Arabidopsis thaliana: one gene and its partner. The protein of the gene in region 2 purifies or fractionates together with the protein of the main gene of each other region. This does not show direct contact. Each region holds a gene or a part of one and is shown on either strand. Other genes may lie near its edges.

The links. Proteins that work in one complex are often made in the same cells at the same time.
Region 1: the proteins of BSK3 (region 2) and AT5G45510 purify together in Arabidopsis thaliana (affinity purification with mass spectrometry, with the first as the bait; one study listed by BioGRID). This does not show direct contact.

Annotation. Positions count from the first base shown.
Region 1 is NC_003076.8:18,442,803-18,449,956, forward strand, and holds AT5G45510 (Leucine-rich repeat (LRR) family protein), read left to right. Parts: upstream 1-1,804; 5' UTR 1,805-1,995; coding exon 1,996-2,044; intron 2,045-2,384; coding exon 2,385-5,953; intron 5,954-6,135; coding exon of another isoform or gene 6,136-6,150; exon of another isoform or gene 6,151-6,218; coding exon 6,219-6,269; 3' UTR 6,270-6,644; downstream 6,645-7,154. Other genes in the region: AT5G45520 (Leucine-rich repeat (LRR) family protein), read right to left, coding at 6,707-7,154. UniProt on the Arabidopsis thaliana protein: Probable disease resistance protein.
Region 2 is NC_003075.7:287,810-294,027, reverse strand, and holds BSK3 (BR-signaling kinase 3), read right to left. Parts: upstream 4,250-6,218; 5' UTR 3,425-4,249; exon of another isoform or gene 3,334-3,424; 5' UTR 3,222-3,333; coding exon 3,143-3,221; intron 3,063-3,142; coding exon 2,842-3,062; intron 2,759-2,841; coding exon 2,623-2,758; intron 2,525-2,622; coding exon 2,391-2,524; intron 2,286-2,390; coding exon 2,180-2,285; intron 2,103-2,179; coding exon 2,017-2,102; intron 1,921-2,016; coding exon 1,732-1,920; intron 1,642-1,731; coding exon 1,489-1,641; intron 1,378-1,488; coding exon 1,264-1,377; intron 1,184-1,263; coding exon 932-1,183; 3' UTR 536-931; downstream 1-535. Other genes in the region: AT4G00700 (C2 calcium/lipid-binding plant phosphoribosyltransferase family protein), read right to left, coding at 4,659-4,950, 5,040-6,218. UniProt on the Arabidopsis thaliana protein: Probable serine/threonine kinase that acts as a positive regulator of brassinosteroid (BR) signaling downstream of the receptor kinase BRI1. Mediates signal transduction from BRI1 by functioning as substrate of BRI1.

The sequences.
Region 1 (7,154 bases), on a different chromosome or scaffold from region 2:
GATGTTGTTGAAATGAATTTCGAGCACTAATTATCCTTAACAAACTTCTTAATGTGTATATTAATTAAGTTGAGCCATATATTTCGATAATATTGGGCCACCATATTGGGCCATACATATTTGAATTCGGACCGTAACTTTCGCTATACATCTATAATCTATTTTGATTAACAATATATTTTAATAAATGATTTTTACAATAAAGAATAGTAATAGTTTGAAGTTCGTTCTTATATAGTTTCATAAACTTATTAAAAAAATAAATTAATAATATTAGTACTAATCCAAAATATAATTTTAAACAAAACAAAAACAGTGACAAATAAAAGAAAACAAAAACACCAATCCAAGCTAAATGGAGACTGTCTAGATTCTTTTGATTATTTTTCTAACTCATTATAATTTTTATTTCCTTCACATTATTTCAAAAATATTTAGATGTTTTTGCATAAAAATTTGAGCTTACAAGCAAAAAGAAAGTGTTGTAAATAAAATTTCATGGGGAATTGTCCAAAATCCTTGATTCACCGTGATTCACATTGCCTTCCAAAATCTCTAACTCCACTCTAAGATTCGATTTCTCCTTCCTAATCTCATTAAGCGTCAAATTAGGCCGTGTATCATTTGTCAACCAAAGCCTAGAACTTTAACACAACTTCTCCTCATCTCTAACCTAGCTTTCCATCCGATCACATTTTCTCATTCTGATTCTCGCATCAGTTTTATTTCAAAAGATAAATCATTTTTTTTTTTACCAAAAAACGTTATAAATCGTACTCTACTGACAAGTAAGTAGTGTTCAAACAATAGCTGAAGGAGTGGATCCGCTACTAGAAATTTGTAGGATCATAGCTTGGGTTTTCCCAAGTGGGTTAATCTATAAATGTGATCCGAACAAAACGCTCAAAGTAAAATACCATGTGTGTTTATTCATAGAGAAAAAAAAAAAAATTGATAAGAAATAGGGTATCAGCGAGGACAGTTTACAGTGTTCTCAGTTTATGTTATCTTAAATCATGAACGTATCTGCATAAATATATGTTAACTCAATACATGTCAGAAACGATGATGTCCAACTTGATCATGCACTCGTTCACATTGCCCCACTAAAACTTAATCCAATTTTATCATATAATTTAAGTTTTTGTTGTTGCAAGTTTATATATAATTTTATAAAAAGTCAAAAATGTAAATCAAACTCATGAAGTTATATTATTTTTTATTTTATTTTGAAATTGAAGTTATATTAATTTACAATATAACTTGTTGACACTATTGCTAAGTTTATTAAATTATTATTTTAAATTTTTAAAATGAAGCATTTACATAAGGCCGGCTCAACATTACTAATTTACTATGGTCTCTAGGATTTTTTTTTTGAGCCCTAATTATTATTTTTAATTGTTTTTGTTATGAAAACTATTTTTTTGTGTAATTTGACAACAAATAATTGTTAAAAAAACAAAAAAATACAGATAAATTCTTCTAAATTCTTTTGAACATTTTTCAATATCATATATAAAATTTTTTAAAATATTTTTGAATATTAAAATAGTATGAAACTTCGATATACACGCTTATAATGAATAGTCCAATTGTCATTTTAAGAATTAGACACTTTAATATGTGACTGTAAAAACTCTTTAAATATGTATATTATTGGTTAGATTTAATTACATGAGTTTGATATATATATATATATATATTTGCAAATTGAAAATAAATTTAAAGAAAATTGTTATTTAGAATTTTAATTTCTTACGAGAAAAATCCTATAATTTAATTTTAGCGCCTGGCTCACCCCGTCTGGCTAGGAAAAGAAATATAAATACGCATGTGATTATTAGAAGAAATGATGTTAAAAGAGAGAGAAAGATACGAGAGAAAATGGAGAGAAAGTGAGAGAGAGAGAGAGAGATAAAGCAGAGGTTGACTTCGCTTTGCTGAGAAGGCAAAGAGCTCGAAAGAGAGAAGACTAACTCTCATCAGCGACGAATGTCTGATCCGTTGAAGATGGCGGCCGAGACGGAGGAGATTAAACCAGGTTACTATTCTCTCTGTCCCTCTCTCTTTCTCTGCTTTCGATCTATGAATATACTGAAATTTGTTAGAATATCTTGTAAACCAATATCTTTTTATGTATCTCGAATTGATCTAAGAACTTGTTGTGTCTTTTTTTTCCTTTTGGGTCAAAAACTAATCATAAGGTTGTCTAGAGAGATGATTCAAGAACAAGAAATTATCTCCTCTTTACTTTGAAAACGAATTTTATATACTTATTAGTGAAGGAATAACGAAAAATGTGAATTTCTCAGGCTGATGATATATAGAACCAATTTGGTTGACTTTTTTGACTGAATTTGTTTTTTTTTGTTGGGATCAAGTTCCAGCAGCAATGGGAGAAAAGAAGGATGTGGTGTTGTGTAAGAAGATAGTGGAAACTCTGGGAGGAGGTGGTGATCAAAGAGTATTGCTGGTTGGCGAAGCTGGGATCGGGAAGACAAGGATGGCACAAATGGTTGACAAAGAAGCCTCTAAGGATGTTCTTTGCTACCAGACTCTCTGGTTGCATCTCAACAGGAAGTTTAAAGTCAACGACAACTATATCAAGGAGAAGAAGTTTGAAGACGAATGGTCTCTTTATGAGAACATAGCTTCACAGCTATCTTTATACTCTGATTTTGAAGAGACTGAAGTCGGTGAAAGAGATGAAGATGAGGAAGAGGAGAAGAAGGTTGAAGATTTGCTCAAGGATTTGAAGCCCAAGATTGAGAAGTATCTCTTGGAAAAGAAGGAAGCCGTCGTGAAAAAATTGGAGGATGACAAGAAGAAGAAGGAGAAGGAAGCCGCAGAGAAACTGGAGGCTGAGAAAAAACTGGTGGATCCGGCTGCGAAAAAAGCAAAAGACCATGGAAACAAGAATCCAACCGATGCCGCAAAGGAGAAAACGACTCAAGTAGTAGCCGGAGGAGAGGATAAAGCTCAGACATCATCTGAAAGAAAGCCGTATCTTCTTTTGATTCTTGACGATGAAGGAATGACCAGTGAGTACGAGGTGATGGTGCATTTAGGCCTTGAGGATTTTCTGAAAGATCACACACCTCGAAAAATCCTTATTACAAGAAGACAAGAAACTGAGGAGGCTACAAAATCTGGTGAGCATGCTGAGGGGGAGGCAAATGATTCGCAATCCGGGGAAAAGAAAGAGGACACAGATGGTGAAGACGAAATTAGATCAGCTGATAAGGAGGAACCTGAGTCTCAAGCCCGGGTCAAAACAGAGGAGAAACATGAAAAAGTTGTACCTCCTACCATAGATGACTTATGGGGGAGCACAAACACTTATGGTGAAATTACGTTCCAGACCACAAATGAGTCACAAGATTTACTTGAATCATTCAACCTAAAGGAGGCAGAGGCTTTATTTACTTCGTCCATGTTTTTCAAGGATATGCCAAATTTTTTCTTTGACCCCGTTCCTGGGACTGATGAGAAACTGTTAAACCACATGCTGAAAAAGAGCAAGAGTTTGCCAGCTGCAATCAACGTGCTCGCCAAGTCCCTAGAGTACACTGTCAAGAGCAAGTCCTATAAGCTTAATAAGGACGAAGAAGAGAGGTTACTAAAAGAAAAGATAGAAATGGTTCTCTCGGCTGAGCGGGGTAATCCATCCGACCAGGAATCTAGTTCTGAGAGCCCTAAGAAAGCAAGTGGAGAAAATCCAATCCTGCTTCTTGCATACAAGCTGTTCAAAACCGATGGTCCATTGAAGGATACAATATTGGATTGTTTTTGGCATAGCTTGGACTTCTTTGAGCATTGTGGCTGTGTTTACTACCGTGACCTGATCACACAATGGATACTTGAAGGCTACTTTGATCCTGTTAGGTCTGTCGAAAAGGCGTACCAGGATGGTCATTCTATCTTCATGGAGCTTATAGACCGCGGAATGCTGAAGATACAAGAAAACAATGTGGTAGTACCAGAGATGGCGATGAGAAATGTAATTGATCCTCGACGTGGTGGGCATTTAGGGAAATCTCGGCTTGGATTTTCTAGAGTCTATGGTGGTAACAAGAGAAAAGGAATAGGGAAAATCACCCAACTTGATGATATGATTAAAACAGTGCAAGCAAAGAAAGGAGACAAGATTACCACGATTCTGGTTAGTGGAGATCGTCTGCGTCGCGTAACTCCTAAAAAGTTCTTCAAGAATCTGAAAGAGCTTGAAGTACTTGGCCTTTTTGAGCCCACAGTAAAACCATTTGTCCCGTCTTTTTCAGATCAGCTCAAACTCCTCCGGGTTCTTATAATCAGGGACTGTGATCTCCTGAAAAGCATTGAAGAGCTTAAGGCTCTTACAAAGCTAAATACTCTTGAAGTTTCTGGTGCTAGCTCCCTGAGCAAAATATCTGAAAAATTCTTTGAGTCATTTCCTGAACTCCGAAGTCTTCACCTCTCTGGGCTTAAGATCGAGTCTTCCCCTCCCAGTATTTCTGGCCTGAAGGAACTTCACTGTCTCATCATCAAAGACTGCCCTTTATTGCAAGATCTGCCAAACATACAAGAACTAGTAAATCTTGAGGTTGTTGATGTTTCTGGTGCTAGTGGGCTTCGAACTTGTTTCGACAACGCAGATGGTGCCAAGAAAAACAAGAGCAAAAACAAAAACTTTTATCTTCTTACAAAACTTCAGCATCTTGACTTCTCGGGGAGCCAAATAGAGCGACTGCCAATATTCCAGGATTCTGCGGTGGCCGCCAAGCTTCACTCCTTGACTCGGCTCTTGTTGCGCAACTGTAGCAAATTGAGAAGGTTGCCTAGTTTGAAGCCCTTGTCAGGACTTCAAATTCTTGATCTTTCTGGCACTACGAGCTTAGTGGAAATGCTTGAAGTGTGCTTCGAGGATAAGCTTGAACTCAAAACTCTTAATCTCTCGGGAACTAATCTTAGCGAGTTGGCTACCACCATCGAGGACCTGTCCAGTCTCAACGAACTCCTCCTACGTGATTGCATCAACCTAGATGCCATCCCAAACATCGAGAAACTAGAAAATCTCGAAGTCATTGATGTTTCCGGCAGTGCCAAGCTGGCAAAGATTGAGGGATCATTTGAGAAAATGTTTTACCTACGTGTAGTGGATCTGTCTGGAACCCAAGTGGAGACACCAGAGTTGCCAGCGGATACCAAAATCCATTGTCTGAAGCGTTTTACTCGGGCAGATGGAAAATGTTTTGAACGTGACACATGGAGAGAAATAAAGGAAGACATTGAACGTGATAGGTCTGAGAATGCCAGCTCCTCTGATGCAGTTGTTATATCTCAAGAAATCACAGAAAAGAAGCCTGTAGAAATAAGAGAGGTTGAATCGAATGCACCTCGCGCCAGTGATTGTACCGAGAAAGTAGATGTCAACAAGGAACGTCTTCTTAAAGTCCCCATAGATAGGGCTCTATATCAGAAGGCACTAACATCACTTGTTGATTCCAAAATTCCACAAGAAGAAGTCTTGGAGATCAATGAAACTAATAAGCTAGATGAGGAAGCACTAGCTAGTGCTGAGTTTGTGTCTTTTGTGGACTGTACTCCTGAAAGGGTCAAATCTATCTTTGAGAAGGCCAAATTGGTGAAGGGTTGCTGGCTAAGGATGTGCTTTGACATAAAAGACCCTTTCGATGGTGTGGATGAGGAGAACTTGAAATCACTGGAGACTTTATCGATTACAAACCTTCTCTCATTGGAGACTATAAGCTTTATTGCTAAGTTAGAGAATCTGAAGAACCTAAGCTTAGATTGCTGCCCGAAAATCAAAACGATTTTCCCGGAGATGCCTGCCAGCCTACCAGTCCTGAATTTAAAGCATTGTGAGAACCTGGAGAAAGTTGTTGTAGGAGTTGAAGTGTCAACTCACACTAATCTGGATTTGAAAGTGGAGAATTGTCCAAAATTCGGGGTAAGTTGCAACTTTCTACTCTACCACCTCTCCTGTGAACATTTGTCATTTAGGACCATTATTGTAGCTATCTTTTACATGTCAAACAGTCTAGCACACTTCAGAACTCATCAGAAGAGGAACACTTCCACATCCAAAATTGTTAAAAATTTAGTTGCATCATATTTTTCTCTGTTTTGCAGGTCGTATGTGCTTGAGTCGTCTTGCAACATATCTTGTCTCTTTTCAGCTTCATCTTAGCATTTTACACTGCGTGTATTTGCAGGACTACGTAATGGTTGACCACAGTGATGTACCTCCACCACATGAATGCTGATCATAAAAGAGGCTGGAGCAAGATCTACTTACACAGTACTAAACATCTGGATCGTTGCCTCTTTAATCATTTTCATACTTTTTTCCTACGTGTGCCTGAAGCTTTGCGTGTTGAATAACGACCGGCATTGAAACATTATCTTGCGGGTTTTATTTTTACTGTTTCATGTTTCTGTTTCTGTTTTAAGATATTTTCTGCTGTAAAATCCCAGGCATAGTGTTCTGTTCTTGTCTGGGTGAATAAGACCATTGTTTTGATTGTTTTTCTTTTCTCAAATATTATTTGAAATTTCTCTGTTTGAAAGATCTTATAAGACAGTTTAAGGCTTTACGATAAATATTTAATTTATACAAGCAGGAATGTGTGTATCTTGTTATTCAGAGTGTAGAGACCATACATAATTTCTAAAGAAGTTACAAAGGCTTTTGCGGTTATCTTCACATATTTGGTGACGACGTCCAGACTCCATTACCATCTGTGGGACAGAATGCGATTTTGGGGCATTTATATTTCTCCAACAGTGTCATTTTTGGAAACAGAGTTTGCAAATCTCTCCACTCAACCTTGAATTCATGCAGATACTTCAAACGCAAGATCTCAACGTCCCATTTATCTTCTGTGATTCGACTCTCATCACCGATTCGGCTAAGTTTTCCTCCTTTGATGGAGAGCTTTTTAAGATTTTTCAGATCTTTGGGATTTAACCAACTCGGAGGTTTTGTTTCAGGGAAACATTCTAGCTCCAACTTCTTCAAATTAGAAGGAAGTGTATAGGTGTCATCTACTACTGGATCTTCTTGCCATCCTATTCCCCATTTCTTGGTTTGGTTTCCCCTTCCCGTTAACCATTTTGCTTTGCTTGACTTTGATTTCCTGGATGGTGAT
Region 2 (6,218 bases):
CAAGCTTTTGTCGCCGGAGGAGAGATTGGAAATCTGTACGCCGGGACCTGATGAGGTGTGAAATAACTGGGGTCATGAAGCTTCTTCTTCTTCTTCTGACTGGCTTTTCTCTCAATTTGCTATCCTTGTTATTTTCACCTTCACTTTCATTTTTTTGTTTTTTTTTCCACAAATCTGACCCCCCTTATATGTTTGGTGTATCATTTTTATGTGTTTGTAATCCATCAAGATCATTTTCCCTTGCCCTAATATTGCAAGCTAAGATTCCGTTTCATGTTCCTCTCTAAGATGGTTTTTGGGTGAACAAATAAACTCTTAACGACATTTTTCTATTGTATCTCAGGACTGGCACAGATTCCAGGTAAGCTATTTAACTGAAATGCACATGTTGTTTAATTAAAGTTGAAAAGCGAGGAAGATGAATGAAGAGTTAACTAACTTCACAATCGGACGAGTAATTAAACTATACTGTAGGAGTCGAAAGTCCTGTAACTTTGACACGAATTTGTGTTTGGTTAAAATTTTGAATAATTTACTCAACTATTGGAATTTAACCACAAAAACCCCTTTCACTGTCGAATATCTCTTTAGTCAAAAGACAAGAGTTCATACATGTTTAGTCTGTGTGACCTATAGATCAAAAGAAACAAAACCCTCTTTTGGTTTCTGCAATAATGGGTTTTTTAGTACAATAAAGTTTCAGGAAATGGATTTCAAAGCTAATAAAGGAAATGACTCCTTCAATTCAATGCCCATAAAAAGAGGCACAAGAAGGGCAAAACACCTCATACAACCAGAAGAAGAGGGTCTATAGTTTTGCATTGCTCTTGAGTGTTTTCCCATCATTGTGCTCAAAAGATTCATACCCCTTTTACTTGGTAAGATGTTCTTTCATCTTTCCCAACAAGAAAAATCTTAAATGCTATATATCTTACTTCACTCGGGGAACTCCATTCATCTTTGCTTCAAGGTTCGAGCCCTCTTTCAGTGCGATTTGAGATTCCTTCTCCATTCCCAGGATACCAAGGGAAGCAGACTGCAGATATGATGCGACATGCCACACGGGAGAGATCACTTGAGCCTGAATTGCATCATCTAAAGCTTCTTTCGGCATGTCACTCATTAGGTAACACAGACTACGCCGAGCACACACTGTTGGAGAGATCATTCCTCCATCAATAAACTGTCAAAGTTTCAAGAAAGATAATCAGGCTAATGCTATGTGTTTGTCTACTTCATTTTATGTACAAAACAAAACTCGACCTGTGTGTAACACTCGATGGCCTCTCTAAAGTCTTTTTGCCTGAAAGCCACATCACCCTTCTTCTTCGAGTTCAAAGACTCTTGCATCTGGTCTGTCCACATATGAAACGAGAGCTGCATTGCCAAACCAAAGTAACGCAACACCATGAAGAACCAAGAAAGAAACTATTCACTGATTAACAGAGCCAAACCACTGATTCTTCCAACATAATTCTGAAAAGGTACCTCATTGGTGACACCCTCGTCGTCTTTGTATCCAAGTTTCTCCAGGATCTCAAGCATAGCGGTCAGGTCCCTTCTTGAACAAGCCTCACCAAGAGGGGACAGAGGAGAGACTGAACCACTGTGAGGTAGACCCATTAGAACATGAGACAGGACCTGCAATTTACAATACAAGGAAAATTATCTCGAGTTAACAAAAAGAAACTTGGTCCAAGTTATTCTAATGGCTCGGAAATCAATAGAAACCTCTGTCTCCTTCTGAAGAGGTGTCAAGGCAGTCACTAAAGATTTGGTGTTTGGCCGCTCACGAGCTTCATACTGAAGACAACGAGAAGCTAGGCGTACTAGCTCTGTACCATCACTATCAGAAAACTGCCCATCTAGGCAAGAATCAGTTAGCGTCTGGAGATTTCTGTCTCTAATCAGATCAAGGGCCTGTATAAAACAGATTGAAAGAATCAACCTTCACCTTTTCAAGTAAAAGCTGCAATCTCGTATGGAAAACAAACTTATTATGGCTAAAATACTTACATGGCTAGGAGGTATATGTTTTCCGCTGAGAAGATCAAGCAGAAGAGTGCCAAAGCTGTATATTACACTCTCTGGAGTAATTCTCCCTGTAAATACAATAACAAACAGAACGTGCAACTTAATCTCAACCATATGAATCTTGGAGAAAAAACCAATGATGTACCAGTTCGTAGATATTCAGGAGGGGTGAAAGCAAGATTAGTGCTGTAACTTTTTCCATCCCGACTATTCTTCATCAAGCCAAAAGTAGATAGTCTTGGATTGCATTCCTTATTAAAAGCCCCTTAAGGCGTCAGAGAATGAAGGAATAGCATAGAAACATAGACAGGTTTCGAAGAAAGAGGAAAAACTGCTTATATATAACTAATAAATACCTCATCAAACAAAACCCGGTAAGCATTGAGGTCGTGGTAAAGAGTACGGCCTTTGCTGGTGCAGTATTCAAGAGCTTGTGCTAGATATAAAACAACTCGTAGCCTCATAGTCCATTTCATAGGTTGAGTTTCCCCTAGTAGCATAAAAAGTACACTTAGACACCATAACTTCCAAGACTAGCATGGCAAGATTATTAAATGAAAGGCTATATATAGGAAAAATGATTCTCACAGTGAAAAAGGTGTTTGGCTAGTGTTTCATTAGGCATAAACTCTGCTACAAGTAACCTCTCGTCACCTTCGCAGCAACATCCGAGTAAATTGGCCATTCTCTCACTCCGTAGCTGACCAACCGACCTCGCTTCCTCCTGCACAAGGAAGAAGAACACATTCTCAACATCAAAATAAAAAGAGATGAAACAAACTACAATTTCCAAAGATAAGAACATACCAAGAACTGTCGTGAATCAGGCCAGGCCATTCTAGTAAAACGCTTGACAGCAATCTTCTTTTGGTTCTCCAATTTCCCTTTATAGACAACATTTGGAGCCTTTTCTCCATGTTCAGATACAATATACTCCACGGCAAAACCAGAAGTAGCTGCCTTAAGCTGTTCTAAAGTATACTCCCGGAAATTAGGAACATCAGTGATCTCACTACTCTCTCCATTATCTGCATCAATCAGACAATGTCTTATAGCTTCTTAGATCCAAGTAGAAAAAACACTAATTCATTGTCTTAAAGAAACTAACCAACATCAGGAGCTTCAAGAACAGCTGTCTTGTGTGAAGTGTTCCTGCAACAACTCAGGCTAGAGCATTGACCTCCCATCTAAATAAAACCACGCTCCAAAAAATATTCAAAGACTCTTGCTTTTTTCTCAGCCCAATGGAAAGGAAAGGTTTTGTTTCAATTAGGAGATGTCTCTTCGTAAACCCAGAAGCTGCAATAAAATTATACAGCCAATGAATGATCTTACCAAATCAAATCTTCAATAGTTTCAAAATCAGTGAAGTAGAGAAAAAAGGTCGTACCTTTCGACTCTACTGAGTCAACTCGACTAGTTAGACTCAAAATCGAAAGGGTAAATTTTGGGAATCGAAGCAGAAACAAAGATAAAAAAAAAAACCTAAAGCTGGAGCCAATCAAGAGGAGAAACCTATTATCACCACCACTAAGCTACCATTTGGATCGACGAAGAAATTGTAGGTTCCTCGATTTCATCAAAGAGGTCGAAGGAGAAAACAAAACCAAGACAAGCAAATCCACGTGCTTTACAATAATTTTAAATTAAACAAGAGAAAAAAACGAAATCGAGACAGTATCTCAAAGGAATCGACATGAACGTATGTGATTCATGTGAAGTAAACCATAAACAAATCCCAAATTGTCGACTATTATTTATTCTGATAGTATAAAAACTCTAGATCAGATCACACAGTGAAGTTTAGTACTAGTATACGTGTATCTAATGTATACACATCTGTATTATTGTTATTGAAAAATTGAAAGAAGAAGACAGAGAAAGAAAGATAGAATAAGCCAAGAATTAATTTTACCGACAAGTTGATGAAATATTTTAATGGGTGTGAGAGAAGAAAGAATCTGGCCATTAACCTTATAGAAAGAAAAAAAAAGAGTTGATTAATAAATTGTTTGTCGTACAGATTTTTGGGGTTTTTTATTTTCTGGAAAATAATTAGCACCGCCTGTTAAAGCAAGTGGTCTCGTTCATAGAACAAGACAGAGAGAGAGATATGCTTCTTCCTCTTTCCCGTTGTCTCTTCATGCCGTAATCACTAACGGACTTTTGTAATCAGGGAGGGAACTAATTAAGCACTAAAAACAGTGTTAATCACCGATGTGACGTTGTTTTGTTCAAGGCCCATGGGCTTTTTATATATTGATCACACGGATCTGGTTCAGCTTAAATCAAACCGGGTTTAGGCTGGTTATCGACCAATTAGTTTTGTGGAAGCGATGGTTTAGCTTTGGTTGCGAATTGGAGAAGGTTTAAAGAGTTTGTTAGGATCTAACCGACTCTGTTTTGAGCTTTTAGATTCTCTGTTTCAACATTGCGAGTGTGGAAGCAATTTATTTGATTTGATCATCAGAGTTTGTTTGCGATCACCATTGTTAATTCGGAGAACGAGTTCACGAACGCATGATTGTCAACACATATAGATGCATATCGATAGATAGATACAGATTCAAAGAAGAGAGTTATATACATGGCATGTTTGTTGATTACTCTATCCAGAAGAAGATTCACAGCATAGAGTCGGTCATGGCTGGAAGTCGCCGGAAAAAGTTGACGGGAGCGGAGGGAATGCGGTGTCGGAGCTTTGGATGTCGCATGAAGTAGTAACCGGATAACAGAGCGACAAGTTTAAAAGGGGTAATGTAGAGAGCCATGGCAATAATGAAACAGAACGTCACGAATATTGCGGTGGCGCGTGGATCACGCCAGCTCAGCAACGCTTGCACTCGCTCTCCTTGTGCGGCTATGTCTCCAGCCACCGACTGTACCTTCCCGGCCACAGATCTCAGCCGGTCGTACCTGAAAAATATGAGGGAGGAAAACTATCAACCAATGACCAAGTCTTTCTTCGTTTTCGATTTTCTTTGATCATTCTTGATTTTTGTTACCTCATTTTCACAATGTCCGGAGCCCTTACGGTCGGGAAGGTATCAAACTCTTCGTCAAGCTCATCAGAATTTACATTGTCTGCATAAGATAGTTTGGCGTCCATATGAGGAGGAAATCTAGGCTTAAACCTGTAATTCCACATCCCAATCACAGCCATATACAGAAACACAGTCGGCAAAATCATCTCCGGGAACGTCACAAGCATAGTGTAGAGCACGTGCACCAGAGCCGTCGTCACGGGAGTCTTCCATGTGCACACTTGTTCCATCCATTTCCAAACAGACAGCGCACCGGAGAACACTGTCGTGAACCTATTGAAGTTGGCTTTGCTTCTCCTCATGCTGAACAGCTGACTTTTCCAATCTGTCAAATAGTCAACCACTTCCCGTCTCAGCGGTGGCTCGGACCGGCCTAAACGAACAATAATTATGTTGATAGCCTGCATCTTAAGAGCTTCCTGTTGGTTTGTGGATAAGGGTAGTATGTAATGCATTTTAGGCAGGAGAGGTTTTGTGTATTTCATCAGCATACTGGAGACCGATGTGCAGGTGAATCTCACCGCTAAGTGAAGCTCTCCTCTTTTCTTAAGACCAGTAGGTTGTAGAACAAGTAAAGGGTAAGCATGCGTGTACACACGGCCCGTCTGAAGAGTCGAGAGTCTAATGCGGACTTTCCCAATCGGCTGATCTCTCTTGTTTCCGCCATCTCCTGCTGCGAAATGAGCGTTGTCAAAGACGCAGATGGTTAAAACCGTTGCAGGATCAAAAACCTCCCATGTGTATTGCTCATTGTACTTTGGATTCATGCTGTTGATCACAGTTCGTGACCGAACCCATTTGTGACCGTATTTGGCAACAACGTACGTGTCCGAAGTACCTTTCCCTTCCCGAGTTTTCATCGAATGGAACACATTTGCGTTAAGTATCCCGAGCTCCAAGACACCAATTGCTGGTTTCCAGAGCTTTCTCGACGAAGGTCTGAGATCACTGCTGTTATACATGGACTCATCAAAAACGTGGTAGCCTCCATCGAGAACCGCCTTATACCGGAGCCTAGTAGCGAACTTCACTTTCTTGGCTTTATCAACATCCATAGCGTCTGAGATGGAGTCTTCAAGATGAACCCATCGGTCATGAAAAGGTTTATCATCTATACGTTTCTCTATGTCATTCATCAAA